Linked DNA regions of Drosophila melanogaster. The protein of the gene in region 2 interacts with the protein of the main gene of each other region in a pairwise test. Each region holds a gene or a part of one and is shown on either strand. Other genes may lie near its edges.

The links.
Region 1: the proteins of Sox21b (region 2) and nau interact in a two-hybrid assay, tested with the Drosophila melanogaster proteins (one large-scale study listed by BioGRID).
Region 3: the proteins of Sox21b (region 2) and ems interact in a two-hybrid assay, tested with the Drosophila melanogaster proteins (one large-scale study listed by BioGRID).
Region 4: the proteins of Sox21b (region 2) and sisA interact in a two-hybrid assay, tested with the Drosophila melanogaster proteins (one large-scale study listed by BioGRID).

The regions. Positions count from the first base shown.
Region 1 is NT_033777.3:23,710,600-23,721,249, forward strand, and holds nau (nautilus), read right to left. Parts: upstream 7,759-10,650; 5' UTR 7,358-7,758; coding exon 6,830-7,357; intron 6,025-6,829; coding exon 5,902-6,024; intron 5,839-5,901; coding exon 5,764-5,838; intron 2,715-5,763; exon of another isoform or gene 2,676-2,714; coding exon 2,597-2,675; exon of another isoform or gene 2,541-2,596; coding exon 2,347-2,540; 3' UTR 2,215-2,346; downstream 1-2,214. Other genes in the region: CG10301 (uncharacterized protein), read left to right, coding at 1-290, 406-660; CG10300 (uncharacterized protein), read left to right, coding at 959-1,260, 1,495-1,867, 1,937-2,197; CG10232 (uncharacterized protein), read right to left, coding at 8,877-9,276, 9,341-9,920, 9,977-10,114, 10,171-10,341, 10,402-10,578. UniProt on the Drosophila melanogaster protein: May play an important role in the early development of muscle.
Region 2 is NT_037436.4:14,127,038-14,134,610, forward strand, and holds the start of Sox21b (Sox21b), read right to left. Parts: upstream 4,288-7,573; 5' UTR 4,101-4,287; exon of another isoform or gene 3,521-4,100; intron 1-3,520.
Region 3 is NT_033777.3:13,898,513-13,906,527, reverse strand, and holds ems (empty spiracles), read right to left. Parts: upstream 4,676-8,015; 5' UTR 4,350-4,675; coding exon 3,215-4,349; intron 2,925-3,214; coding exon 2,575-2,924; 3' UTR 1,908-2,574; downstream 1-1,907. UniProt on the Drosophila melanogaster protein: Acts as a homeotic selector gene controlling antennal and mandibular segment identity.
Region 4 is NC_004354.4:11,319,581-11,325,366, reverse strand, and holds sisA (sisterless A), read left to right. Parts: upstream 1-3,009; 5' UTR 3,010-3,076; coding exon 3,077-3,646; 3' UTR 3,647-3,788; downstream 3,789-5,786. Other genes in the region: l(1)10Bb (lethal (1) 10Bb), read left to right, coding at 182-275, 357-697. UniProt on the Drosophila melanogaster protein: Involved in sex determination and dosage compensation. Required for proper expression of Sxl in embryonic somatic cells. Also has an essential function in the yolk nuclei. Involved in endoderm migration and midgut formation.

The DNA.
Region 1 (10,650 bases), on a different chromosome or scaffold from region 2:
TGTACATGCTGCGGGAGATCTATCATTTTTCGTCGATGGCCATGGAGGTGATTGCGCTGGAGAATGACTATGCCAGCTTGGCGGGAATCTGCGAAATAATTGACCTCGAGGGCGTCAACTCGGATAAGATGCGACGCTTTGATAGGGTTCTATTTCGCAAATGGTGGAACTGGCTCTACAATTGCAGCCCCCTTAAAGTGAAGGAGATGTATATCATAAATATGCCCAAGGATATTCAGGGTACCGTCATGTTTCTGTACAACGTGCTTAGCATGCAAGTCAACTATCCGGTGGGTATTGATAACTTAATCAGCAAGTTATCACCTTCGTGATAAAATTGTTTTTATAAAGTAACCATTAGAGATTCAGTACCAATTAAGGCTAGATATGTTTATCTTATTTCAGATACGCGTGCTGAAGAACAGCGAAGAGCTAATCGAGCACATTGGCAAGGAATCGCTGCCGGAGGAGTATGGCGGTACCAATGGACATTTGGGTGAATGTGTGGCCTACATGGAGGACCTGTTGAATAGCTATCGTGGTTATTTCGAGCAGGACTGCAACTACGGGACCATTGAGGAGCTGCGGCACGGCGAAATAGCCACATATGAGGCGGAATTTGGAGCCAATGGCTCCTTCCGTCGTCTCAATTGGGATTGATACCAGCACGGAAGCAGGAAACCTAGACCCTCCCTCCCACAATAGCGTTTATCCATATAAACATTCCAAACTCTGCTGTAGTCGATCAATTAAAGATAACACCCACTTATCAACTATCTATGCACTCGTGTATCTATATCTAACTGACTGCCGACGGGTTTCGGCTCGCCGTTCCAGCTAGTTTACAAGGTGTTGCCCCGATTAGATAAGCGATGCCGCCGCAAAAGCCAATACCATCACTACCACGGCGCTGCGTCAGTGGTTTTGGCATTCAGTTACTAATGAACCGAGCGCCGGAATGGCGAACACCCTGAGAACTCTCGACCCAAAGTTGGCGGCTCTGGCCAAAAGTGAGTGCAACGAGGAGCAGGCGCAGCGAGCGGAGATTATTGCCACCATTAAGACATGGATCACCAAGTCGCCGCACCTTAAGGCGCCCACGGATGAGCAGCTTATCCTGGCCTTTCTGCGGCGTTGCCGTTTCAGCCAGGAGGAGACCAAACGGCGATTCGACAACTACTACTCCCTGCGCAGCGTGTTCCCGGAGGTTCTGGGATCCCGACAGGTGGACGAGGCCCTGCTCACCCAGTTGCAACGCGGGTGGGTTGAATGTTCCATTTGCTATATACCCTTTTTGCCTTAGGCTGCTAAATATTTCACAAAACCATACAGAATACAGCTTTCTAATCAGTGGTGTTAAACGTAACAAACATTATCAATAATAATTTATTCACTATCTATGTGAATTTCTGACTGGAAATTAGTTGCGTGTTACGAAAGACCTATGTTAAGAAGGTAAAGATACTTTATTTAATTTCTATTTCGAATTAACAGAATCCATGTGATACCCATGCGACCTGTGAGTCCCGAGGGGCCAAGGGTTATCATCTCGCAGTTCCGAAACATCGATCCCAAGAAATCGAATCCCCGCGAAGCCTTCAAACTGATCTTCATAATGTTGGAACTATTGGCTTTGGAGTGCGATAATGCCGCGATTTCCGGCTTGATCTGGGTTGTGGATGCCAGAGATGTTACCATGGAGCAGATGATGCAGTACGATCCCTTCCTGCTGAAGAAGGCATTTGCTCTGGTGGACCAATGCATACCACTGCGATTTGTTGAGATTCATATGATCAATATGCGCAAGGAGGGACAAACCATATTCAATTTTGTAACGAAGTTTTTGCCCTCCAAACTGCCTTTCAAGGTGAATCTATCATCAAAAAGCTTGAATTGCGTTAGGATTGGTAATTAATCTCTACAATATTCTACACAGTTCGTGGTCCACAAAAAGTCGGAGGATCTGTACCAGCACCTGCCCAGAGATGTGATGACCATCGAGTATGGTGGCACCAATGGCTATCAGGCAGAGGCAGTGGATCATTGGCGCCAGAAGCTGCTGGACAGCAAGGATTATCTGGCCAAGGATGCCCAGTATGGTACTAATGAGAAACTGCGCGTCGGATTGGCCAGTGCCTGGGCCAATGGAGAACTGGACGGGATGAGCGGTTCCTTCCGCAAATTGGAGCTAGATTAAGTAAGACGACTCTAGTTGCTGTTTTGAATTACCATTTAATTAAGTTCTAATGCTATACAAATAATTTAAGGCCTATTCGGGTCACTGGGTATCTCGTGTATCCTCTTAAAAATAGCTTTACAATTGCCTAAGGTGCTGATACTTAAGTGCTAAGTGCTGCACTTCCGTTTGAAGTTCACGTGCAGAGAAGTGGGTGCAGTTGCTCCGGATGAGGGCGGCGATTGGGTATCTGAAGCGGAGGGCGTGGCCTTATTTTGAATGGGACTCGTGGTGCTCTTATTGATGCTCTGAACAATCAGATTTAGACAGTCCAAACTGGAGCCATTGGCATTGCCATCAAAGTCTATACAAAAATATTTTAGATAAATACATCAAATACTTTTTTTTTTTTACTTTTACCTGTAAACTGACCATATTTCTCCATATGTTTGTTGTAAAAACTAAGTTTATCTTCTAGATAAGCGCCAGCATAGGAGCTCTGCAAGGAAAAACATAAATAAATACAAATGGAAAAATCATATATTTTTTTTTTAGTTGGCCTCAAGCGAAATTGGGGAAACAATAAATTACAGAAAAGTGTCGCCGTCGAAATGACAACGTCAAATTTGCTCCGGTCCTGTCAACTTGGCCAACGAGTGCCATACAGAATGCAGTCTAATGATGAGATTAAGCCAAAATTTATGCCAGTAAAGAGATTCCACAGGCCAATTAAAACGCATTGAACCACCGCACCACACCCATTGTCTGCCCCAACATTGTGGGGCATTGTGTGCAGTGCACTTTAGAGGCAATTAAATTAATTTTGCGCATACGCAGACGACAGACAAGGCATCCGGAGATTCGGTCGGGATTTCATTAGAAAAATTCGCTATAACGCCGATGCTAAGCAAATTATAATTGCCACTTCTGGGTGGGTTTCCTTGCTGCCCCCCCCCCCCCCCCAAATCCGCATCTGGTGCATCCAAAGTGCCGTCACTTCGTCTGCAAGGATCGACAAATACAGGGCATCCCGTATGGCTTATATGTATGTACGTCTGTTTATATTTAGCGGACAACAAAGTACGGAGTGATAAAACAACAGAATAGCATTCAAAGCCGAGTGAAGTGAACTAAACTGAACGAGAGCAGATGAACTCACACTGCACTTTTATAAAGCGATTTATCATTTTTTTCAAGCGTTTAGTGACAGCCTGCGCTCGATATGCCGCAGTCAGCAAGCGGATACACTGGGAAAAATTACACAAAAATAGCACAACTGGGTTAAAAGCAATAAAGTCTATTTATATGACAATATAATACCGAATATTGAAAAATTTCTTTGGAAATAAATTCTCAATTTAACAAGCATGTTCGAAATATATTTTTAGACATGCCCGACTTCTTTCTGTGTACTTGTTTGCAGGTCTTTATGGTATTTCGGTGTATTTTATTTTATTTTTTTTTTTTTGAGCATATATCATGCGTTGTATCTGAATGAAATGCCACTTATCACTTGGGCATTCCGATTCTTCGGTTGCGTAAAGATTTTAAGCCGCTTTTTGGCGCGTTCCCCTTAGATGTTCTCCTCCGATCTGTGAGCGTGTAACGGATATGCGGCATTATGCGATTTGTTAGCCATAAGTTGCATGAGTTTTTACCATGAAATATGCTTTTAATATACTAAACCCACTTTAAAAATATTGCCACTTCTCTGCGAGTTGTGCGGTCAGTCGTAAGATCTCATAATCCATTTCGGAAATATCACCGAAAAAATGCAAGAACTACTTGCCAGATATGTATTTACATTTTTAATAAGATGCAAATAATGTTGATGTTTATTTTCGGAATTATTTAATCAATCTTTCTCGGAAACTGAAAAAGTTACTTTTTGAAACGGGGACGTGTGATAAAGATTATCAGTGGTGGTTAGACCATAAAAATCACACCAATTATCTCTTCTCAATAATTTGCAATATCATTTATAAACTGCTTTCCATTCGTAGAAAATATCTAATAGTGTAGCTGTAAAGCTATTCAAAGATAACAAAAGTTTTCGGTAGCATATCTGTACCTGATAATAGTTTAAAAACTGAATGGTAGGGAATCCGATCAATCCTGACTCACTGTCCAAATGGATGGTTTGCACCCACGTTACCCACATCTTTCCGTGAGTCATTTGCACCGAAAAGCTCTATCTTAAGACTTCAATGATTGCGGCTATGTATTTCATTACGTAGAAATTTGACTGATATAGACAAGGTGGCACTTTTGTATATCGCAAGTACTACACTTTATTGGCGGCGATAAGGAAATTTATGGGCCAACTTAGCGTTCGCATTTCGTGTTGGAAACAGTTCAAAAGGAAATCTTTTACTTAAGTCGCCGAGGTTTATAAATACACGGGCTCCAAATGAATGGATATGGATGAGATGGATGGATTGCCAGGGTCTGAGATGCATTTGAATGTCTGCACGTTTGGCGCTATGCCAGTTTTTAATCAAACTATGGCCGCACATTAATATCTGCCAATGGGGGGCGCAGTCAACATACAAATACGCTAAGTTTTATGGTAAATTAACAAATTTGTACATTAAAATTGTGAGAAACTTAAACAAACTGCATGGAAATTACTCAGCGCAGGCCAACCCGAAAGTCAAATGAAAATGAAAAGAAAAGAGGGCGTTGAAGATGATGGCAAAAATGTTTGCATAATTGTTGACAATTTGTTGCCCTGTCATTCGGGAGTAGATATGCATGTACAACCCGCTCCCGTCCCCCCCCCCCCATTTTTCATTCATTTTCATTTCCCTTCAATGACCAACGACTTGGCCATATCTTGCAACACCTTTCGAAGAAGAACACCCCGAGATCTTGTCATGTTTTTCCTGTGCAATTTGTCAACTGCCACAACGGTTTTGGTTCCACGTCGCAGGGAAGCTATTATGAAACAGAAAAGCGATCGTCGCAATCCACCAAACATGGGGATGAAGATTCTGGTGCCGATTCCTGCTCCAACGAATTTGTTGTAATTAATTTACAACACGATTTCCATTCGGGCTTATAAAAAGAAAATTTATTTATTGCCTTTCACTAAATGCAGACAACGACCCTTTCCCCTGTAAATTCTCCTAAATTCTCCAGCTATTTTTCCTCTAAATTTTTTTTCCCCCGTTCCTTTGATAAAAGTTTGCTCCCCTCACATCTGGGCAAACTTTCTCGATCATAACTCATAATATTCCCGGTTTTCGAGTGAATGTGATTCAGAAATGTGGATGATGGGCTGCCGGCGTAGCTTATTAAGTAGCACGTCAGCGAGCGCATAAATTCCGGTCAGCAGATACAACAGATATCAGATACAGTTTGGGGACTGACTCTTTCGGGGATCCGTCCGTATACATATTCTATTTTCATGTTCGCCATTGCGACGGACCAGACCCTGAGATTTTGATGAATGTGCGCGTCGCCAAAGAAAAATGTACGAAAGCGCTGCTCATGCATGAGAATTTTACGAGAAAATAATTGCGGAACGATATACGCGCCGATATTGTGGGCTTAATATTAATTGGCGGTTAGTGGACAAAACTTACCAGATAATCGGACTGGCAGCTTTTGCCGCTCAAACTGGGCGCCAGGTTGTCGCCATCGCGTGTGGTACTGGATTCCTAAGATAATCAATTTAACCAATGGTATTCTCTATTCGCGGTGAGATGAGTTCACTCATTTACCTGTAGCAGATCCTCCAGGCTCTCGATATACTCGATGGCATTGCGCAATATCTCAACCTTCGGCAGGCGCTGGTTGGGATTGGATGAAGTGCGTCGCTTGAGGATCTCGAAGGCCTCGTTAACCTAGAATGTGAACGGAATAATAATCAATTAATGGCCATCGTTGAAATCATGGAAATCCATTAGGCGTGCCATAAAAACACAGAACACGCGGCGTGTTCCCCTTTTAAGTGGCTCTTTAATAAAACATATTTTAAATTAAATAGAGCATAAAATTTTCAACAATTAAGCCGTTCGCCCGTCGTCTGTCTCTTTATGACAGCCCCCCATCACCATACCCCTTCTAACCGGAGCTCCCACGATTTTCCGCCTTTCACTAATGTCTCTATGTGGAGCTATAAATACGTGTGGTTCATCCAAAACTTTTACGACCGTCGAACTCATAAATGCCGCTGTTTAACTCTTGGTCTTGGCAAATGTTTATGTTTTACGCATGTTGGGTGGTTTCCCTTTCTGCGCGTTATGTCAATGGATCCGATCCTCCCTGGTGGCGATGTGTTAATTTGTGGGGTGCTAGCCGAGCTAATGAAATTACTACAAAGTTGCAGTCCTTAAACGCAGGGGACTTGCGAACTGTGGCGTAATCTATTTTTAAGATCGACCGAGGATTAATAAGCCTGCTGATGGAAAAGGACTCTTGAACAGAGTTCTGAGTGGTATGCCTATATTCAAGTCCCCATAAGCAGTTTTAAGTTATTATTATAATAATGAATTGAATGAATCAAAAATCTACTTTTAAAGTGAACCATTCTTTTAATGAATGATTGAAAGATGAAAGTGCTGTATTTGTATCAGTAGTTATTGCACAATATGTTTTTAATATTTGATAAATCTGAAAATGTGTGTAATGTGAGCATGGGATGCCTACCTTTCGCAGTCTCCGGCGTTCCCTCATAGTGGCCGCTTTCCGACGGTCCACGGTGACGCTCTTCTTTTTGCACGCCTTGCAGGCCCAGGTGAGGCATGGTCTGGAGGATTGGGCGGAGGAGCAGACGAGGGGCGCCAGGACGTGCTCCTCGGAGCTGAGACTGCTGTTCTCGTCATCGTAGTCGGTGGTGTAGATGGGCGACGGTGTCATATTCATGCCCAATGGCTTGTCCAGCTCAACCGGATTATGATTCGCATGACTGTAGTTGCAAGACGAACCCGATCCGTTGGCTGAGATGGAAGCCGCTCCACCATTTCCCGCACTCGCATCACCGACGGCATTGAAGCGGCTAAAGAAATTCTGCAGTGTCTGGTGTGGATTCTGGCCGGGATGGGCTATCGGATTCTGTTGGCTATAGGCGCTAAATCCGTATCCAGGATGTGTCGGCTGACCATAGCCATTGTGGTACTCCTGCTTGATGGTTTGAGCCGCAGGCATTTCACTGCTGCCACTATTATACTTGGTCATTTTTCACTTCACTACGATTTTGTTATATTTTACAAAACAATTTTGGTAGTTCAACAAGTTGCTGAATTTAATTGCTGATACTAATTACGATGGCACAGTTAATTTAGTCAGTTGATTATTACCATTTTTAACGTGGTTTAAGCTCTTTTTCTAGGTATGCTAGGTCATTAACACAAATTTATGAGTTATGGTTACACACAAGTTTTAGGCTGTGGTTTCTATTTAATTTAATTTGTTATAGTTTCACTTTCGGGATTTTTAAAATAGAACCTTAATTAGTTGGTTACACTTTAATGATGCTTTGTAAAAACCTCCGACATTTTCAAAAATATTTTTCGACTTCGATTTGCGGACCGTACGCGAGTGTGTGTACCGCCTTCCGTCGCAATCGCAACACATTTGGTGACAATATCCAAGAATCCAAGATATCGTGGGCCCCCAGATGTGCTCGCGATCCTCTCGGAGTGCGGATGCTGCTGCGTTTTGAGTGGCTGAGTGGCTCTCGAGTGGTTCCTATTTTTAGAGGCGCCCCGCCATTAGACGACATTGGCGGTTCTCTAAGGCAGAAGGACGCTGCCGCAGGCCACGCCCCTCCCCTTTTTTTTTTAATTTTCGTGAGTTTTCAACGCGATTTTCCGCTCAATGTGAAGCGTGTTTGTGAAAGGCTTAGTTCAAATCAAATAAATTGAATTTTACCTGGCCAGCGATTAGTGTGGGTTGGTGGGGGAGGTGGTGGCATAAATTAGCTTTCGGGGAGCTCAACAATTCGTTAATGTGACACATTTAGTGGAAAATCCGGCCCCCCGTCCACAGATCCCATCAATGGCAGCCACTTTTCTATTGAGTTATAGTTGCAACGGCCGAGAAAAAAGCGAGAAATTGAGCAAAAAAATAAATAAAATAGGAGAGGCCGAAATAAAAATAGTCAAAGAATTGTGTTTATTTATCGCTGCTCAGGCACAATATATATCTTTGGAAATCACCTTTAAATCTTCCCCAGCGATATTGTAAATCTTTTGTCTTAGGACCGTGGTTTGCTCGAGCACTTTCCATCTTCATTTTTCCACTTTTCCCTTCTCGTCTTTTTCCATTTCGTATTTTCTCCTCACATTTTCCATCTTGCCGTACTTTGATGGATGCTTTGTTTTGATTCGGTCTGATGGTATTTTGGTGGCAAAGACTATTTGTTGTGCCACACGATAATCCCAATTGTAAATTTAATCATTATCGGCCTTTGTTTTCGGGCAGTGTACTGTCAACGCACAAATGTAACTCAGAAAAGAACGTTTAAAAAATCAAAATCATTAAGTAAATTCGATTTATTGTGTTATTAATTTAATCAAATAAATAAAATACATATTAAAACTCATTCTTATGTGCATATTTGATTTTACTGGCTACTTGATTGAATTTTCCATAATTCCATAATCCACAAAAAAAACACATTCACTCATACAAACAAAATGCATTCACATATTAACAAACACCATACACTAGTCGAGATTCCTTAGCAAGAAAGTTATGGCTTCAAATTTGCCTTTATCCATGAGAAAAATGCTCCAGTCTTTGTGTAAACACCTGGTTTTCTATCTCCGCAATTCTCACTTCCATATGAAACGATACCGGCCAGATATACGATATCCTGGTAATCATTATTAAGGGTTAACATCAAGGGACCTCCGGAATCACCCTCACAGGAGTCTTCTCCTCGAATGCCAGAAGCACAGATTTGTGATTCGTTGCGGAAGAACGATATCTTGTCTTGGCAATAATATCTGTTTTCATAAACGGTGTTATGCAACAACACCTGACTATATTCTCTGTTTTTCGTGTAGCCCCAACCGGCGATTTGCAATGGGTGATTATGCAAGGGGATGGGATCTTTCGGCACACAAATCGGTAGAATTTCGTGGGTATATCTAAGGAAATAAAAACTTTGGTTCATAATAGTCAGAAAATGATGCCTTATATTGCAATACTCACCGAACTGGCGTTTGAAGACGCACCAAGGCGATATCGCTTTCAAACCTTGAGGTGTTGAAATATTGTTCGTGGACATTGAAATACTCGATGCCGATCTCTACAAAGGGGGCAGCGCAGTTTCCTGTAAAGTCGCAATCCGGATTGGTGGTAATATCATGCTCGCCCAGCCGCACTCTCCTGAGCACCAAATCTGTGTTCACCATTTTATCCTTGACCACACAGTGTGCAGCGGTGAGGACGTAGCGTTTGTTAATCAGGGAGCCACTACAGTTGTTGGTCATGGTCGATAGTCTGCGATTCTCGTAGATAAGCATGGCCATCCAAGGATATTCATTTGGCCTCGCCGCTGTGCCATATGCCATTCGATAAAGAGGCGGAGCTTGTCCACAGGACGTTGGTAGAACGTTACCTGGTTCCGGGCAGCAGATGTAGTGGCGCTTATCCGAATCTATTCTTCTGGTATCGATGGCACACTGTCTGTTATCCATTAAATTGGCCCCATCTTCCATCGTAGTATTATGGATACGAAGACACTTGTCCAATCTTATGCATTTTTCATCGGCTGGACAATCTGGAAATTCTATAACTATTTCGATTAGTAAGTGGTTAAATGATAGACTTTTGTTTTGCACTTACCCTGCTTAGGACAGCAGTAGGTATTAATGCCGCATTGCCTGCTCATTAATATGTTCTGGGCCTTTTTCCGTTTAAGCTTTAGAAAAGGGCAGCTATCGCGGCTTCTACATATCTCATCGTATTGGCAAGGAAAAATCTCTGTAAGGGCTAAGAATTAGTAATCGATAGATCGGGTATTATACGAAAAGCATTACCTTGTCTTTGACAGTTTACGTAGACCCTTCTTCGTACCAATGGCTGGAAGTGATCGATATAACATATTTTATTTATTATGGATTTCAAAATATCACTCGTCCATTTCCGGCCATTAAACTGGGGACAGTCATTGAGCATGACGCATTGTTCATTGGATCTTCTTTCATAGCCTGGTAAAGTTCGAAATTAGAAAATAATGGCAAAAGACTTCGATTTGGTCAGCCATTTACCTTCTTTTCGGCAGCAGTAGCTATTATAACCACATTGTTTGTCCCGCAATATTGCTTCTCTGGCCCAACTTATATCCGCCGATTGCAGAAAGTATTTCAAGGGTGGGCATGCTTTAAGGTGTGTACAGTCCTCATTGACATCACACTTTTTCCATGAATTGTAAACCTGCAACTGAACTGAACAAAATATGATCCGTGAAATACATACGTGTACAGAATATAAAAAAAATGGCTATTTGTGCGACTTTG
Region 2 (7,573 bases):
CATTTGTTGTTGTGTTATTGTGCATCCCGGTCGGTTTTAAGGGTTGACATTTGGCCCACACAATGGGCGCTGAAAAGGAGTGAGTCCGATTCTGGACGAGTTGAGGTGGCAACCGCCAGCGCGGCTCGCAAGTGGGTTTTTTGGCCCAAAAGTCCACGACTCCACTCGGCATTGTTTTCTTTTTGTCCCCGAAGAATGGGCCTCAGACGACATACTTTTAAGAGCTGAAATCAATTAGTTAATTGATTAACAATGCCCCAATGAGCATTGAGGGGTCACAAGGCGTAGGGGAGGGAAACGACTGCGAGTTGTTGGCGAACGCAAACGGGAATAATTCATAATATAATTATATCTGAGTGGCTAGTCAGCTAATTAAAGTGGACTGCTTGCAGTATGAATTGAATTGGATTCCTTTAAAATTCATGTAAAAACTTATCAGGTTAATTCACTTTCTAGTTAAAGTTTATCAGTATTACATCTGAATAATCATGATCATTGCTAATCATTTTAATTAGGGAGGACACTTAAGCGTTCTTATTAAAAGATAAATAAAGTGGTTGTTGTTTTCAGTTGGGATAATTCAAATATTTTGTATCACTAAAACGTGGTAATATTTTCAAAAGAAACAATGCCGTTGACACATTTCTTGATCTTTATGTTTAAATCATCTGTTTTATAAATAGCTAAGCTTCTTAAAATAATCACCAAGAAATTATTTAAGTAGCATACATTTAGCATTCTTTGTTTACTTAAGGAGGTAAGTGCGATCCCATATTGTACGTATTGCAAAATGTATATGTATAATAGGGCTTGTACAAGATAAACTATTAGTTGCTTGCTTTTATTAAAGCTAAAGACTTATTAAATTATTTAGAAAATATAATTTTTTAGGATTTACAGCCTATAGTAGATAAAAAGCTACTAAAAAGTTGTTGAGACTCATAAATCTAAAACATAAAACTATTTCTGGATCGTTACGTGTACTCAATAATTTTGGAATATCCTTGGGTTTATGAAGTGGCCAACTGTGGTTCGAAACTATTTATCTTTATCTGTCCAATTCGACTGTTTTTTCTCTGCTGCCATATTCCGCAGTCTCTCTTTTTGGCCCTGTTCATTGGCATTTCTGGCCATGCAACGCATCGTGGTCAATAACTTGCGTTGGGCTATGCGAGGCGACATCTGTACTGCTTCCGGGCATTACCACTTGGTGTTAAAGTAAAAATTGCCCAAGCATGCGTATTAAGCATGAAATTTATATTAAAAGAAAAGGGGGAGCTGGGAACGGGGAGCGGTTAGCAAAGGGACACGCATATTTGTAATCCTTATGGAGTGCAAACAAATTTCTGTGTTGTCAAGTTGCTCTCCATATTTTTGCTCCTCCTTTTTATGTTGCGAATTGGCAGAATACACTGAGAAAAATGAATTGATTATGTTTATTTGTGCCTCCACTCAAGGTATACGCTAAATTTCATATTTTGAAAACACTACGCATATATCAATTGATATGAAGTTGCATTTATGTTTGGATTTTTATTTTCGAACTAATTTAATTTTGTGATTATTCTAGTAATTGAAATGGCAATAAAACCGAAAATGACTATGTGGACATAACACTTGTTCCGATGTGGTGCAGTGTCGCAGTTGCAGTATCAGTTGCACCACAGGGCCACCATCCGAATCGACGGTTGCACCACCAGCTGTGCACAAATTGCACTCCAGATATTTTTATTTGCTGTGAATATGCCAGCTCCTCCTTTTGATTCGCTGCACCTCCACGCAGACCGAAATGCAGCTCCGATATTTATTTGTAACGGAAATGTAACCGTTAAACCCAAAAGCGTGGGTCTTCTCAGGGTGTTAATCTAGTAGCCTTAATAGATAACCCACCAGAGGCACCTTATGTCCGACTCTTTCTCATGGAAATCGAGTGCTGAAGCCGTTCTTCTGTTTCGGACTTCGTATCGTATCGCAGTAGGAGTAAAATTAACCCGCTGGCCACTTGAGTTTCGGGGGCCATATAGATCCACTCGTAACCCCCGACCAAGTTGGCCGTGTTGTTGCTGCTTCGCGTTCATTTGTTCATCCGTTTGTTGGTATGTCAAACAAGAATTATGATCGGCTTAGCCACATGCTGAGCCCGAGATCTCTCCCCCAGCCATATTCTTCTGCTCATTCTTTAGCGGCGAAGAGGAGTCTCGCGGTCTGCAGTCTTCCACCTCGTCTTCAACACAGGTAGAGCTTTAAGTGTCTCCACTTTGTGTTGAAATGTATCGCGGATACGCACCGGGTTTTCGGTCCCAGCAGACCCTCCATTCAAAAGTGTCGTCTTGCCCGCCCGCTGCGATCGGATCTTCTCAGGGCCCTAAGTCGCTGGGCCCCCTAATGTTTGTAATTAAGAACTTTCACACTCGCAACAATCGCCTCGTAAACGTGCCAGTGTCTCGATAACCACATACCCTGCTCCTCCAAGGTTTAGTGTCAAGTTTGTGCCAAGGGCTATCCAAAGGGCTATCGAAAAGAAAAAGAACCGATACAAAGTCAGCTAACCATATGTGTGCTGATACAGCCGGGTATTAATTAGAATTTTTTCATACTCTTCTTTGGATTATGCCTGTTTTTTTGAGCAAATTTATAAAGCGAACACAATGGCCAAAAGAATGGCGTAAAAATATTCGATTGACATCTGGTGCGCAAAATAATTTCAGAAAACTCTGTTTGCACAATTGGGTTTTTTGTGTGCTGGTCCAAAGTCGATTTCTATATGATGGGGGCGCGTCACATTAAATTCAATTGTTGTCACATTTTGTGTAAATATATTAATAAACATACGTTGTTTTTCCCTATTTCTTTTACTATTATTTGCTCTAATTGCGTCATTTCAAATTCTCTGGTGCTTTTGACTCTCTTTTCATTGCGGCTTTTCACATACCTTGAGTCGGTTTTCATTTATATTTCGAAATTAAGTTAACCAAACAACTTTGAATGCCCCTCAGAGAAAGAAAACGAGCTTGCTTTAATTCAAGTGGAAGATCGAAAGCAAAAGTAAACACACCTCGAGTGGGGCATAAAGATTCCGACAATGATTTCGCAGAAAATGAAAAGAGGAAAATCCTGAAATTATCCAAACAATAAAATCTGTTGATTCCCCTTGTATCTGACGCACTCAGACTCATTATGTGGAGCTCTCTCCGTGTTTACCTAATTGATGGTCAAGAAAAGTTGTTCAAATTGCGTTCTGAACGGCGGTGAATTAAATGAAATTTGTAAAGGGTTAAAGGGATTTTTAATTGATTTTTTACCTGCTTTCTGACTTGAAGTAATTTCAATTAACTTGGAAAACAATTTTAAGACTTATGCTCAGTTCTATGGGATCAGACTTTATCATAGATCATATTTTACTTTTACTAAAAAAATGTAAGTAAATGTGTTTATATGTAGTTTTGCTAATTAAAATCAAAGCAGCTAAGTTAAACAACTAACTAAAGAATCCATAATGTTTTGGCTTCAATGAAGTTACCTCGAAGAGTTCTGCATTTCCTTTAAATTTCCCGTTTTCCGGCGATTGGAATCAAATATTCGATGGCAGCATATATGCGGAATATACTACCGAATTATTTGGATAATATGTGTTTATGGTTTGTTTTTGTCGCTTATGAATTCCACTTTCCGAACTGCCATAAAATGTTGAATTTGTTGACTTTTATGGTCTTGAGCTGTTTCGTAACAGAATCTGTTTGACGAACACTTTTCCAATGGATATCACTAGTTTATGTTGACGTGTGTTGTTTGCTTTCCATTCATCGATAAGATACTTATGGTGCATCCAATGTTTTGATGCTACAAAGAATGGAGCTTGTTTGATTTGAAGTTTGCAAGATAAATAAGTAGCTTAGGATTTCAAAACTTTATGAGACTTTTAAATCGCTTTGCTTTATTTGGATTTGTATTTTGTTTCATTTCTATGAGCACTTTACGAGCGTTGAAAGTTGATATCATATGAGCACTGTTTTTTGAATTGGTTTGTGTTTTATTATTTAGTTAAATGGGAAAGAAAAGTTTGGTTTGTTTAGGATTCACTTTTACTTTGGGATATTTACCGAGAACAGTTTGTTTATGTTTTTAGTATTATCCTTTGTATTTTTTTTTTGCGAATATCGGTTGTTTCTTGGCGTTTCTTGTGAGGGGGCTAAAACCGTCGCTAGCTGTTGGCTGATCGGCTCTTCTTGGCCAAGTTGGCTGTTGCTGCATCTAAGCGCGCTTTGGCGGCTATTCAACGGATCCGTTCCGACGCGTAACTAAAAACTTGGCGCGCGCTCTCTTCAAAAACACACGAGCCAAAAAACGAGTCTTTCAGTCACCGAATGGGGCGGGGGGCGTGGCAGGTGGGGCGGTGAGACAGCTGCTATGTAACAGTATCGCTCCACAGAAGCACACACACACATACTCAGCAAATCCTCTCTGCAAAAGCTTGTGTTCTCTCTCGCTCTGGATTAATACTTTTTCCGAGAGCTTTCTTTCTTATTGGTTTGTTAAATGTTTTTTATAAGCCTGTTTATAAAGAAACTACATCCACAACAAATTCAAAATTGAGAGCAAAAATATCGTTGTATTGGTGAGAGAGAGGCCCAACGACCAGGTGACATTTCGTGAAGGAAAGAATAAAAAAAAATCCAAGAACTGCGACGTCAGGAAAAAAAAGACGAGAGCAACAGAGATAAAAAATGTCAGACAGAAAGGGATGCAGAATGCAGAGGCAGGGCGGTCAACCAGAGCAGGTGTTGCGTGGGAGTGCGAGCGAGATAAACGGAGTAGCTACTAAGCCACCATAGCCATTTCACTCTAAACAACGAGTCTCATGATGGGCGTTTCCAATTGGAATGCTTCTGGTTGGGGAAGGTTTCGTGTTACATGAAATGCCAAGTGGAAAATGGGGGTAAAGTGGGGGTCTACGACGGTCTCTTTACTGGTAAGAGGTGCCACCATTGGGAGTGAGCTTTTCGGGAGTTTCTCGATTATTTACCGCATTTGCTTAGAGACCAGCAAAGAGCGTCCAAAAAATAAAAAAAAGGTGAAAAACAAACTATCGAAAGCAAAATCAACTAATCTTAATGGACATTTATTTTTGAATCGAGCTGAACCGTGGAGATCTGAGCCTGACATCTGGCCCGCAACTACGATTCGCCTTTGGCCAATTCCCAAGCTCAAAATGGTGGATATGTTAACCAAGGTGGCCATAGTCCAAAATTGGTCCAGACAGACCACTTTGGGACACTTTATCTTTGGCTCAGACAAAGATTAAAGTAGTGTCTGTTGTAGATTCGCACATAGTACTACATTTTGATCTAAAAAACACGTTCTGTACTGGAATGACAATTAACGATTGAGTGTTTTGACCCACATGAAATACCATTTCCAAAATTAATTTTTTTATATCTGTGCATGATGACACCTGGACTTTAGGAGTATATAGTCCTGCAAAGTGCCTACTATTGCTTTGCAATTTTTCGTGTCTACATTATTGTTTTGTTAATTTGCTTTGGTGGTGGTGGCGTTGCCAGGACAACGGCTCGTAACTCCGGAGTCCCAACTCCATTCGCATTTGGTCGGGCTTTGTTCCAGGACTTTTTGTGTAAAGGGTTTTGGGTGGGCCAGGGCATTACGCAGGTGTTGCCATTGTTTCAGGGCGGTTTTTAGCGCATTTTGATTTCCATTCACTCTGTCGTGTCGAGTTCTGTCGTCTGGCACTTTGGCTTCGTTTTAATTAACAACGAACTAATGACAAATGCAAACAGTGTGTACCTGCTATAAGATGAAACTACCTACTAGCACTCTAATTTAATTTGACTCTAATGACCTAAGCCTTTCCTACATGGGAGATAGTGGAAAAGTCTGAGAAAAGAGGAGTACTTGCTGCCTTTTTGCCAATTGTCAGCAAACAATTGCAAGTTGGAAACAATGGCGCACATTTTTCCAGCCCCAACTTGACGAACTGAGTGAGTGACGAAGGGCTTGCTGGATGGATAGATGGATGGACTGCAACTGTTCCATTTATTTGGACCTGGTTTTCCCCTCTCGCTCTCTCGTCTTCTACCGCTCCCTGTCGCACTCTATGTACTGGTTGTGTCCATTGTCTTTGGCTATGTCCCCTTCTCTTTCGCTCTGTCTGTCTCGCTTCCTCAGTTAGTCAGCCATTGTAATTATACACTGCACTCACCTGAATGCCTAAAATGGCTGTGCTAGCTATTGAATGGGGTTTGTCAGATATTCAAGTTAAATGGATAATTAGTTTTTCGTTAAAGTATGATAAAATACACCTTTTTTTAAAGTTCCCTTCGTAAAAATCTAAAAAATTCGTTATAATATTCATGTTAAGCTACAATATATCTAAAGGTATAATAACCTGAACAGTGAACACTCCGTTGGGGCGAATACAAATTTCTGTTTTTCTACTACCATGTCGACCATTCTCTATCCCTTTCATCACCTTACCCCCTTTTTTCGCAGTGCATTTTTCCATTGTCAGTTTCTGTTTTCTGTTTGTCTATCTGGCCATTGTCTGTTTGTCATATTTATCATGGCAGTTGCTTTTGCATTTGCCATAGCATTCTCTGCACTTGCAAATAAATGTTAATGAGTAGTTAGACAAAAAGCGCTGACAATGCACCGACTGCAACTTAGATAGAGAATATTGTGATGAGAACAGCCAGATGGGGGATTTGCCATCTTGTTGAGCCCGTCTTCAAGGCCCTAAGCCTGCAGAATGAAGCTCAACAATCGCAACGAAAAAGATTTCAATGGAGCTCTAATGCCTAAATCGTTATTGTTGGGGATGGATAGGTTGACGAGGTGGATGAGGCTTCCACACACTCCTGACAAGCTCCTGTCGCGGTGAATTGAAAATTTTCTAAAGACCAGGACAACAATGGGGGCAGAGATGCCGCCGTTGCCATGTAAATTTTTGCACTTTTTGTCGCTCATTAATGTTAATCAAAAAGCAAAAAGCACGAGGAAAATCATTCAAATTTTCGGTTGTGTTTGGCAACCGCTTGGGACTTCTAAAAGAAGCCCTTTCCCCTTCCGCAATATATTTCACCGTGCGGATTTTGCTCTGCCCTTATAGATAAACATCGGATACAATTTCATAGGCCACAAGGCAAACAGATTTGGTTCAAAAACGATCGAAGCATCGAAATCAGCATCGATCCATCGATGGCCAAACAATTGTCGCAAACAAATGAGATTGCCATCGTCGAGCCTGAGTGCGTTTAATCCTTGCGAAACCTTCCAGATTCACATCGCAAACAATGCCCAGATTTGCAGCAAATTGATAAACCAAAGGAGAAAAAAAGACCGTACGAAAACTGACAAAACCAAATGCAGTTATGACACACCGATTGATAGGCCAGATAGCAGATAAACAGGAACTCATATGGTTTCGGGGTTTGTTCTTGGGACATGTGGGGAATTTCGTAGAAAGACCACAAAAGGTACACGTTTTTTTCACATCCGTGCATCTAGAAAAAAAAACTGTTGATTAGAACTGTTCAGCAGATGAAAATTGGTCAGATAG
Region 3 (8,015 bases), on a different chromosome or scaffold from region 2:
GCCGTATTAATCTTCCAGGAAACACACATTAAACAGAACACCGAGATATGGCACGTCCCGATCTTGAGCCCTGCACTCCAAAGGATGGCCATTAAGGGGCCAAGGGGTTCTGGTTGGGGTTGGGGTCTCGATCTTGGCTTGACAATTTGCATTATGCCGGCGATCGATCAGCGATCGGTGAAATCCAACAGGCAATAATGAGCAATGAATGGAGATGGGAGGGTAGGCAAAGAGAAACTCAAACTCAAGCCGCAACTCAATTAAAATCCGAAATAACTTCGAGACGAGACACAGCTAATTTAGCCAAATTGGATTACTTAATAAACTTTATGGGATAAGTAACAATAACAACGGGCAGCCAGTTGTGGTGCGTGGTGCTGGCCATAAAGTGAATGCGGCGTTGTTGTTGGCATTATTATTACTATATCTCTTTTTTTGGGGCGCGCCGCATAACAAACCTTTTGAGGCATTCGAAAATCAACAACAACAAAAGCGAAGCCACGAGGCAAAACAAGTTGTACAAACATATGTATGCTCGATATATGTATAACATCATCAACAGCCAACAACTTACCAAATTGTGTTTTAATTTCCGAGAATTATCAGCAAGGGATTTCATTCCGATTTCGGCTTTCGTTTTCTCTCCGTCCCTTTGCGCCAGTGTGTGTTTTGTTCTACAGAAACATTTGAAGAGTGATATTGGATAAAGGAGGCCAGCAGATAAGCCCCCAATCCCATATGCAGGGGGCGTGCCCCAGCCCCATTATTAATTACAGTTCCCGCTCGCGATGGGCCGTGTATCTTGAATCTTGAATTGGAATCTCGAAGTTTCCATCAAAGGTGCGTGTTTGCTAAGCAAACAAGACTTGCCATTAGCTGAAAGGTTTATGGCTAAAGCCGCGATTTCGATCACCGATGAAACATATAATTTGCCCACTCTGATTTACGACTATTGCAATTGTAAGCTTTGTGTTTGCAATAGATAGGTTCCCCCAAAAACCCCCCCTGATTTCAATACTGAAGGGGGGGGACCTTTGACAGAGTGCCACAATTTAGTGCTGTTAACAGCTAGTAATTAGACTCGTTATGTCCGTTAATTAGCCATATCAGCCGGACCAATCTAGTTTGCAGTTTGCCCATTGCAATTAGCCACTGCATATTCATTAGGCCACATTCGATAGCCGATTTCAGTTAGCTGATAGCCGATTTGGCGATAATGAAAACTGCGCTTATATACCGCCACAGTTTTCGCATAAATTTGTGGTTCAATAATCATAAATTTGGCTTTTAGATCATTAGCACACCTCGAGTGGCTTGTTAACCAGTTTCCAAAGCCACCCCAACCCCCAAAAGCCCCCGTTCAGCATCCACCCCCGCCCCTTTGATCTCACACGAACTGCGCTCAATTAAATTCTACAATAAAACACGATTTGCATTTTAAATTGTGCAATTAAAATGCTTATGAAATCTATAAGAAATAACGATCGCTAAATGCATTTTATAGCCGCCTCCTTCAGCTATCCCGCTCTTTTCAGTCGCGGCCGCACCCCCTCAATCCCCTTTTCCAGCGCACCTGTCACCATTTCCAGTGGACAGAAACAGCAACAACAATGTTAAATGTCACACGCTAATTAATTGACGGCGCATAATTTTTTACTCTGTCACACAGTGGGACGAACTCAATTAAAAAGGGGCGGAGATGCCAAGGCTTAAACAAGAAAAAATAAACTAAAGTAAAATATTGTTGAAGGAAAGTAATAAAGCTGAATGAGAAGTTAAAGTTCACACCCATAACTCAAAACATACCAATATTGTTTAAATTATAAATAAATTATCTAGTATTCTGGATAATAAGTGGTTGCCCCCAACACATAAATCAATCAAACATTTCTCTTTCGATTTCTTTTCATAATGAATATTTTATATTTTATATGATCATATTCGTTTGTGTTTCTTACAATCGTATTAGCTTAGGATGTAGTTACTAGCAACTAGGGCTTTATATTAGACGGCTTTAAATAATATCCAGCTGCAGTTGAGGGACTCTAGAGGTTCGTGCTTAAGACTAAACATAAATAAATGCTAGATCGTCATACAATATACAAGAATTATACAATAGCTAGTGGATCGAGTACGATTTGTTTTGAAGAATTCACTAATTAAAAGTAATGTCATGAATATTTACAGGCTTAAGTCATAAAATTTGTACAGTTATAGTTGGTGGTGTCTAGCCTAGGTTTATTTTTTCAGTGTTTCTTTTTTTGCATTTGATATTTGGGAAAGAAAGGAAACAACTTGCATTCTTTGAGCTCTACTCAACCTCGAAACTTCGCAAGGATTTGGCACGGATCTTGAGAGAGAAGTGTGGATGGAGAGAAAGGGTCTCTAATACTTTCCTATCTATATACACTTAGCCTAACGCCTTGGGATCGCTCTAAGAATATATCACAACAAAACAAACTATGTTACTCTCGCCGAGATTCGACTGGGAACCCTCGATAACTGGAACTGGACTGCATTCGCCAGGATAAGGAACTCACGGACCGCCGCAGGACTATCTCCTGGCCGCTTCTCTCAGTGGCTGGCGTCCAGCTCGTGCTCCTCATCGCTGGGACACTCGTCCATCTCCATGTCGATCAGTTCGTCGTCGTCCTCGTCGCCGCTGCCGTTGTGCATATTCCGCTGCGATCCTCCCTCGCCGCCCTTCTCATCCTCCTGCTGCATCCGCTTGTGCTTGGTGCGTCGGTTCTGGAACCACACCTTCACCTGCGTCTCGGACAGATTGAGGTTTTGGGCCAGGGCCTTTCTCTCTGCCCCCACTACGTACTGGTTGCTCTCAAAGGCGTGCTCCAGCTTCAGCAGCTGCGACGGCGAGAAGGCGGTGCGGATGCGTTTCGGTTTGCGGAACGGGGGCACCAGGAAACCTTGAAAGAGGCAAAGAAGAAAGGGTTTCGGTTAGTCATCGGTATTTAAGATCATAACTCACAGCAATAAATTAGCAATGACAATATAATGCAATTATAAGAGACTCATCAAAACTAATTTAAAACATATTAGCATCTTTCATTTCTTATTACATTTATGAAGGTTTAGAATTATTACTTTAAAGAAATTTCTCATTTTTTGGCTTCAATTTGGACTCCAAGAACTATTTTTTTCCCTAAATCTCCTTTTTTTGTTTCGCATATAAAGAATCATTCCAAAAGATACTTACTTCCAGGGAATCGGTGTGGGAAGATCCTTCCATGGCGGCTGAGCAGCCAGGGGTACAGCTGATAGCTATCCCTGGCCATGCCTGGATTGGGCATAAACTGGGCGGCATGGGGCGGCAGGCCGGCGGCAGCAGCGGCGGCGGCCGCTGGACCAAGCACATGACCCGCTTGCAGGGCGGCGGCCATCTGGAACTGGGCAGCGGCAATGAGATGCGGATTGTGCTGAGGCGGCAGCTCCGGCGGAGCGTTGATGTAGGGCGGCAGCGCCTTGATGTCCGGCAAGCCGGGCTGACCCTGCGGCATCGGTGGTCCTCCGGGTCCCATGGGAAAGGGGCGAACGAGTCCAGCGGGCGGCATGCCCGGCATCATCATGGGTCCAGCTCCTCCGGGATGCATCATGGCGGGCTTTGGATAATTCGGGGGCGGCTGCTGCTGTTGCTGCTGTGGCGGTGTGGCATGTGGACTGCTGATCAGCAGAGTGGGCGAAGACGAGGGCTGCGAGGACTGGGGGCTCACGGATTTGGGAGGCGTGTGCGGTGGCTGGATGCGCTGGGCGGGATTCTCGGCCTGCTCCATGGCAGGTGGTGCAGGTGAGCGTTCCCGCTTGAGGGAGACGGCCATCTGGGGCTGCTCCGTTTCGGGGGAGAGGCGTGTCTGCAGCGGACTCAGGCCGCTGGCCATGGCGGCATTGTGGTGCAGCCTCTGCAGCAGCTCCTGAATGTCCTGGTGGCTCTTGGGTGTGCCCGGATGTTGCTGCTGCATGAGGAGGTGCTGGTGGAGCACATGTTGCTGCGCAGGCGATAGATGCGGATGCGGATGTGGTGCCTGCAAATGCTGCTGCTGAGCATGCGGATGCGGATAGGGCAGTCCGTGGGCAGGAGGAGCCATCAGATGGTGCGGGGGCGAGCCTGGGATCAAGGTGAGTGTGGCTGGTGGCGTTTGGGGCGGCGAACCGGGCACATTGCGCTCGCCGGGCGGCGGACTCTGGGGACCGGATAGATCGGGCGTCGAATTGCCGCCGGCGGTGCTGACATCATTGCCCACAATGGACTCGATGCTGAAACCGATCTTCTGCTTTGGTGTGGGCATCATGACGGCTGCAGCGGCGGTGGGAACCGGCGGAATCATCTTAGTCATAAATACGGCGGTTAGTTCGGCTATGTTGGCGGCTTTTTTTTCGAGGGTTTAAGCACGGTTTTCTGTTTAATCTAATCTGTTCTGTTTGTCTAATCCTCTGGGAAGTCCTTATTTGTAACTCTCTATGTTTCGTTGATTTTCTCACACTAAGCGACGCATTGGAAACGCTTTCATATATACGTTTAGTTACTTTATTAATCACACACACACTCGGGTTGTCAAGACTTGTGCTCTACGGCGATCGACGCGCTCGTTTTTCTTATTTTTTGTGTCGGAAGACGGAGAATATAGACGTGTGCTCTCGACGACGTTCGATGTCTGAATAAATCCGGTAAGCCCGGCAACACCACCAAGTGTGCGCTACTCGAAGAGAGCTGAGCTGCGGCGAGTCTTCTCTCTTCGCCAGTACAGGCCAAACCAGTTTATCGGGCCAGAGCGGGAGGCACTGTGCTCGGTGTAGTATGGCCGTCTTCTTTGCGCGCGCCTTGTGGATTTTATCTACCCTGCAGATATGGCCTAGCTGCGAAGGAGCGAGTGAAATGGCTGCTTTTCGAGGGGCGGGTCCAGTTCGGTGCGCTGCCTTTACCGAATTTTCTGCATATGGCTTCCGTTCAAACAGCCACCACTATACGACTTTGTTGTTGCTCTTGGCCTTTGTGTAATTTGGCTTAAACTGCCATTCATAGTTCTTGTTTTTGCGGTTGCATTTCTGGGCCGGAACGAGCGCTAAATGGAAATCTAATGCCAGGTGGGCAAAATGTCTCTGTTTGCGGACTCTGGCCAAATTTGCAGGAAGTTCGAAAAGGGTTTTCGAGGCTTACAGAGGATGTGCGTTTTAAATATTTCCCTTGCTCAGGGGGATTTTTGTTGTGCAAATTTATAGTTTAGCAAGGATTTGTTAGACGCTCTTTATATATTTCTGCATAAAACTAAAGATTAAGGAATATAAGTATTTTGTTAATGGTGTTTTTAAAGTTCGTAAACCCCATTCAACAACATGGCGTAAAATTTATAATTTAAAATACTTATTTAATTTATGATATTATATATTAACTTTCCCTATTTTAAAACGTCCCGGTTTTCGTACAGCTGACAATCCAGTCCACATTAGCAATTCCACACCACGGATGCACTTCAAACTTGCTGTTTCCATAAATCATCTACGAAACTTGATCGGGACAGTTTTATGAAATGTGCTACCGGGTTTATTTTTCGCTACGATTTAAATGTTAATTTTCAGGCATTACATTTTTTTTTTGGCACACGACAAAGTTTGCATAATTTATGTAGTGTCCGAATCGCAGTTCCAAATCAAAATCAGAGCAGGTTCATCAATTGTCGGGACGTGCCAAATGTCTCACTTCGTTTCCTCGGTCAACACTATAACATTTCCTATCAAACCCCAAGAGTTTTTCAAAAACAATGGAATAATATTCGGTAGTGCTATTTTCACACTCTGTTATCAGCCGGAGCCGTCAAATTCGTCGCCGGATTTCTGAGATTAATGGGCTAGGAATCGGCGAGAGCACAACAACAGCTTGTGCGATAGATTAAAATCTATCAAATTTTTATGGCCGCTAATTAAGCCACGCATATTTACCCATAGCTTTCGGTTCGAATCGACGCAAGGCATAAACAACTTTCGAGTCCATTAAAGCGTAATTATGTTGACTAATGGATTTTGATTACAAGGCGAAATGCTGTCGAAAGTTCAGCGATTTTTAGCTGAGTCGGTTTCATTTGCGGTCTAATCTGCAAAACGTGTGTGTAGCTAATTCGATTTGAAACTCGGCATCTGAGCTTTAGTTTTGATTTTGTGAAAGCTTCATTATAAGTAAAAAAAGTATTGGTCGAAATGATAAATATTAAATATAAATATCAAAAATATTAAATTAAATAAATATTTAGAAGTAATACTCTGATATCTATTTAATCAATTGTGGTTAGAAGAATCCTTGCAATCAGACGGCCAACATTTCGACGAATCAAGCATAATTGAGTTGAAAGAAAACGCAATTTACCTTGTATTTTCGGTAATTTCACACGCCCACTGAGCTGAGTACCTCACCGCAGGAGCTCCAGGACTCGAAGGACCTGCAGCCAGCACAATCGTGCTGCTAATGAGCGAATAAAGATATCCTCTGGCCGCAGGACCAGCGGCAGTCAAGTGGCCAACTGGAGGACTCGGCAGTTGATGACCCCCCGCCAGAGTTCGCAAAAAGGAATGAAAACCGTAAAAAATGCAGCCAACAAAGGGCACAAATGCATTTATTAGATGGAAATAAAGAGGAACACAATGCAGCAGCCCGAAAGGTGTCAAAATCAACAATTTTCAGCCTGCAAACAATTCCACAGAAACCGAGGCACAGCGTGATGCAATTTCACCTATTCGAACCTCCCTCCATCCAGAAAATAAATCTACAGTATGCCAGTCCAATTCCCGATGCCAGTTCAGCTGAAAATTGGATGGAGAAAAAAAAAAACAGCAGTTTCACTTTTTGTCTTTTCGTCGATTTTGTTTTTTTTTCTGTTTATCTCGCTGGGAAAACAATGGAAAACGTGGCAAATTTTCCTTTGTTCGATTCGATGGCCAGAAATTGTTGAGTAGCAACAAAACAAGGCAACAGAAGACGAGAAAAATTGACTTTAATGATGATGAGTTGGCGTTTAGAGTGTGCGTTTTGGATTCATTTGAATCGAGTGTGTTTTCAGACCCATTTTCTCGGTTTTTCCAATATATATACTTTGTGTTATTGGCACAAACTCGGGGAAAACTCGATGGGGGAGCGAAGCGTTTAAATGTAATTAATTTCTGGCAACTCGATTGAGGGACAAGCGCCATCGCTAACTGCTTTTCCAAGAATACCATCGATCGATTTCACAGCTCTGCGTTATTTTCATATTTTACCCAAAACGATCTGCCGATAATTTGGGCGCTTGTAAATCCACGCGACCCAAGAAATTATGATGGATCGGCATCGAATTTTGTGGCCACATTTTCACGCGTTTTTCTTGTAGGGAATGGGAAAATTTGACTTGGTAGCAACTGACCGACGTTTTCGGGGGCAGGGGGGCGTGTCAGCCCTAAGAACATCAAACAACTGTACAGTGATGAGCCTGGCGTTTTCCAGGAAAACGAATTCCAGAGGAGCCCAAATCCCATTTGGAGAGAATAGCCCAGAAAAGGGTGCATCAGACCGAAGGATCGGATCATTTGGAATTTCAGGCACGACATATCGGAGCCAATCAAGCTGGACGTATTTCGAGTTACCACAAAGCCGTAAAATCATATTAAAACACAATTTCTGGTCCAGCACCGCGGTAGCGGGCCAAGATCATAAAACATTTATATCTAATCCTTGACAATCATAAAAAATACACAAACGACACGATGCAGCGCAGGGAAAATCTGACAAGGGCCAAGTGCCAGCGGCGAAAAAGAAATGTTTAAAATGTCGGAAAAGTGCTCGAGAAAAATAAGAAAGGGCGGGCGGCGTGGAGAAAGCGAATAAACAGTAGTCAGGGAAATGTCATAAAAATGTCTGATTTCTCCTTGAAATTCCCGCAGCCCCAAAACTATGCACTGGGAAAAATGCAATAGGCATTAAGAGAATATTTCAAGAATACTTGGTTAAAATTAGAACAGTTTTATATTTTATATTCGTA
Region 4 (5,786 bases), on a different chromosome or scaffold from region 2:
GGCTTAGACACGGCCTATCGATAGTGAGTGTTCGATAACCGTTTGATGCTGTGGACAGCCCATGTGGAAAGTGTCATCGCTAAGTAGCCAGCTGTTTGTGAAATGTTTGTTTTTCAAGCAAAATTAAGCATTTTTAAGAGAAATTAAACAGTTTTACAGTTAAATAAATTGAACATTTAAGATGCCCAAGGTTCGCCGCAGTCGCAAACCACCGCCAGACGGTTGGGAGCTGATCGAACCAACTCTCGAGGAACTGGAGCAAAAAATGCGCGAAGGTAAGGACAAGCGTGGCGGCTTCTGTGATAATGAAAACTTTACTATAATCCTATACGTATATTATTAACCTTCTTAAACAGCCGAAACGGAACCGCACGAGGGCAAACGCATTACGGAATCCCTTTGGCCCATTTTCAAGATCCACCACCAGAAGACACGATACATCTACGATCTATTCTATCGCCGGAAAGCCATCAGCCGGGAATTGTACGACTACTGTCTGAAGGAGAAGATTGCCGATGGCAATCTGATTGCCAAGTGGAAGAAGTCTGGATACGAGAACCTATGCTGCCTGCGCTGCATTCAAACGAGGGACACCAATTTCGGCACGAACTGCATATGCCGGGTGCCCAAATGCAAACTGGAAGAGGGTCGGATCGTTGAGTGTGTCCACTGCGGTTGTCGCGGCTGCTCCGGTTAGATTCCATGTGGACGCATTATTGGCATCTTTATTCGACACAAATAATCCTCATAATACATAGTTCAGTAGGTTCAACTTTAGATTTCGCCTGATTTCTTCATAGTATGTAAATACATTTAAATACAAGCCACAATTATGGTTAATGGCATGCTAAACATCTAAATAGATGCTGCAATAAACCGATTATGTAAACGACAAGGCATCGTTGGGAAATGCGTTCCGATTTGTTTAAAAAAAAATGTAGAAATGGTATGAGCAGACATTTTTGTATTAGAATGTATAGAAAAGATAGAAATTAACTTGTAGTTTAATCAAATAAATAAAGATTATAATTTATGAAAATGTTTAAAAGCATTTAATAAATTAAATTTCCTACATATGTCGAAGTGGAGTTTTGAATATTAACTTAAATATATTCCTTTTTTTATAATCTAGCCATCTCAATATGTGAGTTGTGAAAATTTCTGTAGTAAAATATGCAATTTACGTACGTCCTTCTAATGATTTCACAGCTTTTCTTTAAACGATATATACTATACATACATATATTTTAATTTAATGCCTTGGACAATTTATTGCTGCGCTGACATAATTCAAACTCAATGTCGTTTTCGGGGATGTGGCGGAGTCTCCTTCATGTGCGTCCATTTATCGTCGCCTTGCTCCTCGATTTTCAGTACTCTTTCTAAGGGTATAGTGTTTCTTTATTGTCCGAAAATGGAAGCCCTAGTTCAACATTTGAGTATATAGAAATAAGAGTATATACATATTTCCTTGAGTCATCCAATTCAGCTAGAGTATTCCGGCCATCGGCATTCCCAACTTATTCTCAAGCTGAAAACTGTCAGGCTTCAAGTGTTCCTGCGGGGTTTGGTTTGGTTTTGGGTGGCCAATTGGGATTTGGTCGAAAATGATTATAAATGGTTTTTTAATTATACTTGTCTGCATATTTTCTCATTTGCCAAACAAACGCGGCGCTGTCGATTTTATTGTTCACATGGCAAATGGTTAATGCCGAATGGAAAATGGTAAAATGCGAAAAATGGAAAAATTATTGCCCGTCTGCCGCTGACAGCTTGCCCCCATCTGGCTGAAATGGGGGATTTCGAATTAAAACTGCTTTCGGTCACTAAAAATACTCAATTGTTTTGCCAATTACCCAGCGGAGTTATTTATGCCAGTTATGTAATTCGAGTGGCACACATGTGCAGCGTTGTAAATTGAAATACATGAAAATGGAGCAAGTGGAAAGTATATTTTGGGTACTTGCAGTGTTATAACATTTTACTGCTTTTTGTTCAACAATTAATTGGTTATTTAATTAGCATAAGTTGCTGCTTGCGTCATATTGTTCTATAATATTGCTAGTTAAATATTACATTACATCAGCCAGAGATAGCAACTATTTATGGATTTTGAGTTTGGTCCACCAAACTCTATTACATATTATTCTCAGCCAAAGGGATTTCTGGTTTAACCCTTTGAGGCCTGCTAAGCAGGTCGCTGAACCCCTCATCGTTTCGAGGGCTGTTAAATTAATTAATAGACTAAATGCGGTCGGTTCGGCTGGTTAATCCCACGACAACAAGCCGCAACTTGTTTGCCACCACGTCGAAAGTGGCTCCTTGAAATGGCTACCTGATGCGGGAAACCCACTTCCAGATGGGTTGATCCGGAATGGACAAATAGCAACTTTAGCAGGTAGCAATGGCAATCGATATTGGTGTCTCTTATCGCATAATGCCGCCTGATCCCACCCGCTTGACATGCTCGTATTTGCCCAAGCAGGTTGATTTTCCACATAGCCCAACATTTGTTGACTCATTTCGGCTGCTAGATAAGGCGCGAATCGGCAAATGGATGGTGATAGACGAACAGCCCAGCTTGACCTTGGGATTATTGTGGATTTAATGACGCCCTTATCAGTTGCATTGAATCGTATCTCTTGGCTTAGAATATCTTTTATATTATGGGGAGTATTTGCATACCGACATACATATGTATGTAGGTAGCCATTGAAGAAACCCACATATTGGTTCGCACCTGATCCTTTTGTTTTTAAATTTGACCAATTATCAGGTAGACTCAGTGCGTCTGCTACCCTAATCCCTTTGTTTACATATCTGCGATTCGTTGGCCAATCCGGATGCAGGTAGGCGGTGTCCAGCAAGGCGACAAGATTGAGGAAAACAAGATCATAAATCCCAGTGACCGCCATTCATGAAGGTAGAACCCGCGAATAACCCATCCAGTGTCCAATGGCAAGCTACCTGCGGAAATGGTATAAAACGGGGCTGACATATTGCCTAAGGCAGCATTAGCACACGAAATCTCGACGAGAGCAGTCACAGACCACGTCACACATCGAAAAAAATCACCATGGAACGGAGTCATCTTTACTTGCCCACTCTGAGCTACGCGGCCATGGGTCACGTATACGCACCGTATCGCGGAAGCAGTTCACCCGCACTATCGACAGCATCGTCAACATCATCGAAGCCGGAGCAGATCGAGGAGCTGGTGTCCCAGCAGCTGCATCATCTCAAAATGCACTACGCCGACGAGGAGCAACGCTACGTAGACCAGATGCTCCTGGAGAATCCCATTGTTGTGGAGCGCCGTGCACCGCCGCCGCTGAAAACGGAGCTTGCTATGGATTGCCGCGGATCGGGTTCCGGATCAGGTTCCGGTTCTGGTTCGGATGTCAAGGATGCCCAGCGTCAGAGGGCCGAGTCGTGCCGCAAATCCCGCTACAACAACAAGATCAAGAAGGCCAAGCTGCGCTTCCGGCACAAATTCGTCAGCGGGCAGCTGAAGAAGAGCGCCGTCATGTTGGACACGATGCGGGATGTGATTGCCCAGGCGGAGAGGCAGCTGCTCGAGCGGGGATATCCCGCCGCCACACTCGAGCGGATGCGGGCCACTTTCGGCCTGGAAATGGAGCAGTGATATCATAGTGTAGCTATGTGTCGCAGGAACGGATCCCTGACTAGTCCAGCATTAGCCATACCACTTTTTTTTTTTGTTGACTATATCTAGTATTTATCTAAGCATATTATTAAATTTTTAAATAAAATTAAGAATCATATTGAAAACGAATGCTTTCTTATTCAAATATTTGTTATAGGTTCACACGATCATATGGAGTCAAGGATAACTTGTTAATTTCACTTTACAAGAATTTCCCATAATTTGGATGCATTTATTCTGCATTTAACGCATCGGCAGTCTTGGGGTTTCCTTCGCCTGGCCGAAGGTAATCCCATCGGAATTGGGCCAATGCAATGCACCCATTTCGACTTGCTTAAGTTCAGTTCATTTGATCCGACATGATTGCACTTCGCTTTCCCCGTTTCACGTTTTTCCCCCTTTCCATTCTTTTTTTCCCTTTTTTTTTTTGGCTTGCGAACAATTTGCGTTGCCAAAAGCAGCAAATGCAATGGAAGTAATGGCCTTAAGAGCAGGTTTCTGTAAGAGATTGTGGCTAAATTTAGTGGGGCTACTACTGCAAATAGCACCCCACTTTCTGGTTGGTGTTTTCATTTAAGAACTGCGAACTGAACTTGGAAGCTTTACTAAATGCTTGCCAAGGGTATATACTATGTATATATATATACAATATAATTTTAATAACTACATATATTTTTTAAGTAATTTCTCATAATATCTTGATGTCTGCGTAATGAGAAGGATAAATATAGATACTTCTGATTGTTTTTTACCCCAAAAAGTTATTCTATTTCACGCCGTATCTTTTCAACTCTTTAGGTATCAGTTAGTCGTTACTACTGTTCACAGATATTTTTTAATAGCACAACATTAAGAATGAATGGAGGAGCAAATAATAGGAATGTAAAAACGAGAGTATAAAACGCATTTCGCCACAATGGCCAATCGAATTTCAAGCTGATGCTCGCTCAAAAATTTCATTTTCACGTGCCAGGTTACAAATGATTTCATCGCTGCAGTTTTCCTCCGGCTAAATCCCCACTATCCCCCCATTTCCCTGGATTTTCCAACTTTCTGTTGCTGCTTCTTAACTACGCACGTCTCACTCTTATTCGTTCACTCAAGTGCACACAATTCAGCGATTCAACGTCATCAGTGCGGGGAAAGGTACTTCGTGTACCTAACTGTGGTACAGCATTAATTTTGTTACCTAAAGGCGATATTATGAGCTACAAATATATGTATATTAAATGAAATTAAAAAAAAGACTTTTCTACTTTAAAATACGGAAAACTTTTGAAATAATTTTCAATATTTGAGTACAGTTATTAATGTGCTGTCCACCACTGTTTGTCATAATACTAAATGGTTGAAACTTTGCACCCACTTCACCCATCTCTTTCTTCCCGCACAACGCTCTCTCTTTCACTCCCTCTTGTAAAGTGCCGGAAAAGAACTTCAATTTGATTTTATCGCTCGGCCATAAAAGCTCAGCTCGTTTGTGTTGAATGCAGTCGAAGAATTTCAGAAATGAAAAGAAAACCGGGAGTGATGAAGGCCATCCAGATGCTATGGTAAAAATGGGTAGTATTACCAGAAGTAGATGGCGCTGCAAAACAGATCAGTATATCGTTTTCTGTAAGAAAGTATCTAAAGACGAGTATCTGAAGGAAAGTATTTGAAGGAAAGTATCTGAAGGAACGAATCTGAAGGAACGTATCTGAAGGAAAGTGTTTGAAGGAAAGTATCTAAAGGAATGTATACAAAGGAAAGTATCCAAAGGAATGTAACTGAAGTAAAGTATCTTTATCACGCAATCACACATAAAAGTAAAATTGCTTCACAAATAGTTAAAATATTGCTGCCTACTTTTCAGCTGATTAATGAAAAAGTACCTAATATCTAAATCCTTTTTCCAGACTTCCTCTCACATTACATAGGTATTCACATGAAACTACCAGTTGGCGAACAGCACTGATGGGTTACTGGAGAGCCGGACCGAGTACTGGTCAAGGATGCGTCCCACCGCCCCACCGCCCCTTTGTCCATTGTCTGGTGGACGCACCTGGCACAAAGACGATAAAAAGCTTCGGCATTGTCAATGGGCATCGGCGACGCTTCGTGGAGCGGGTGGTATCAC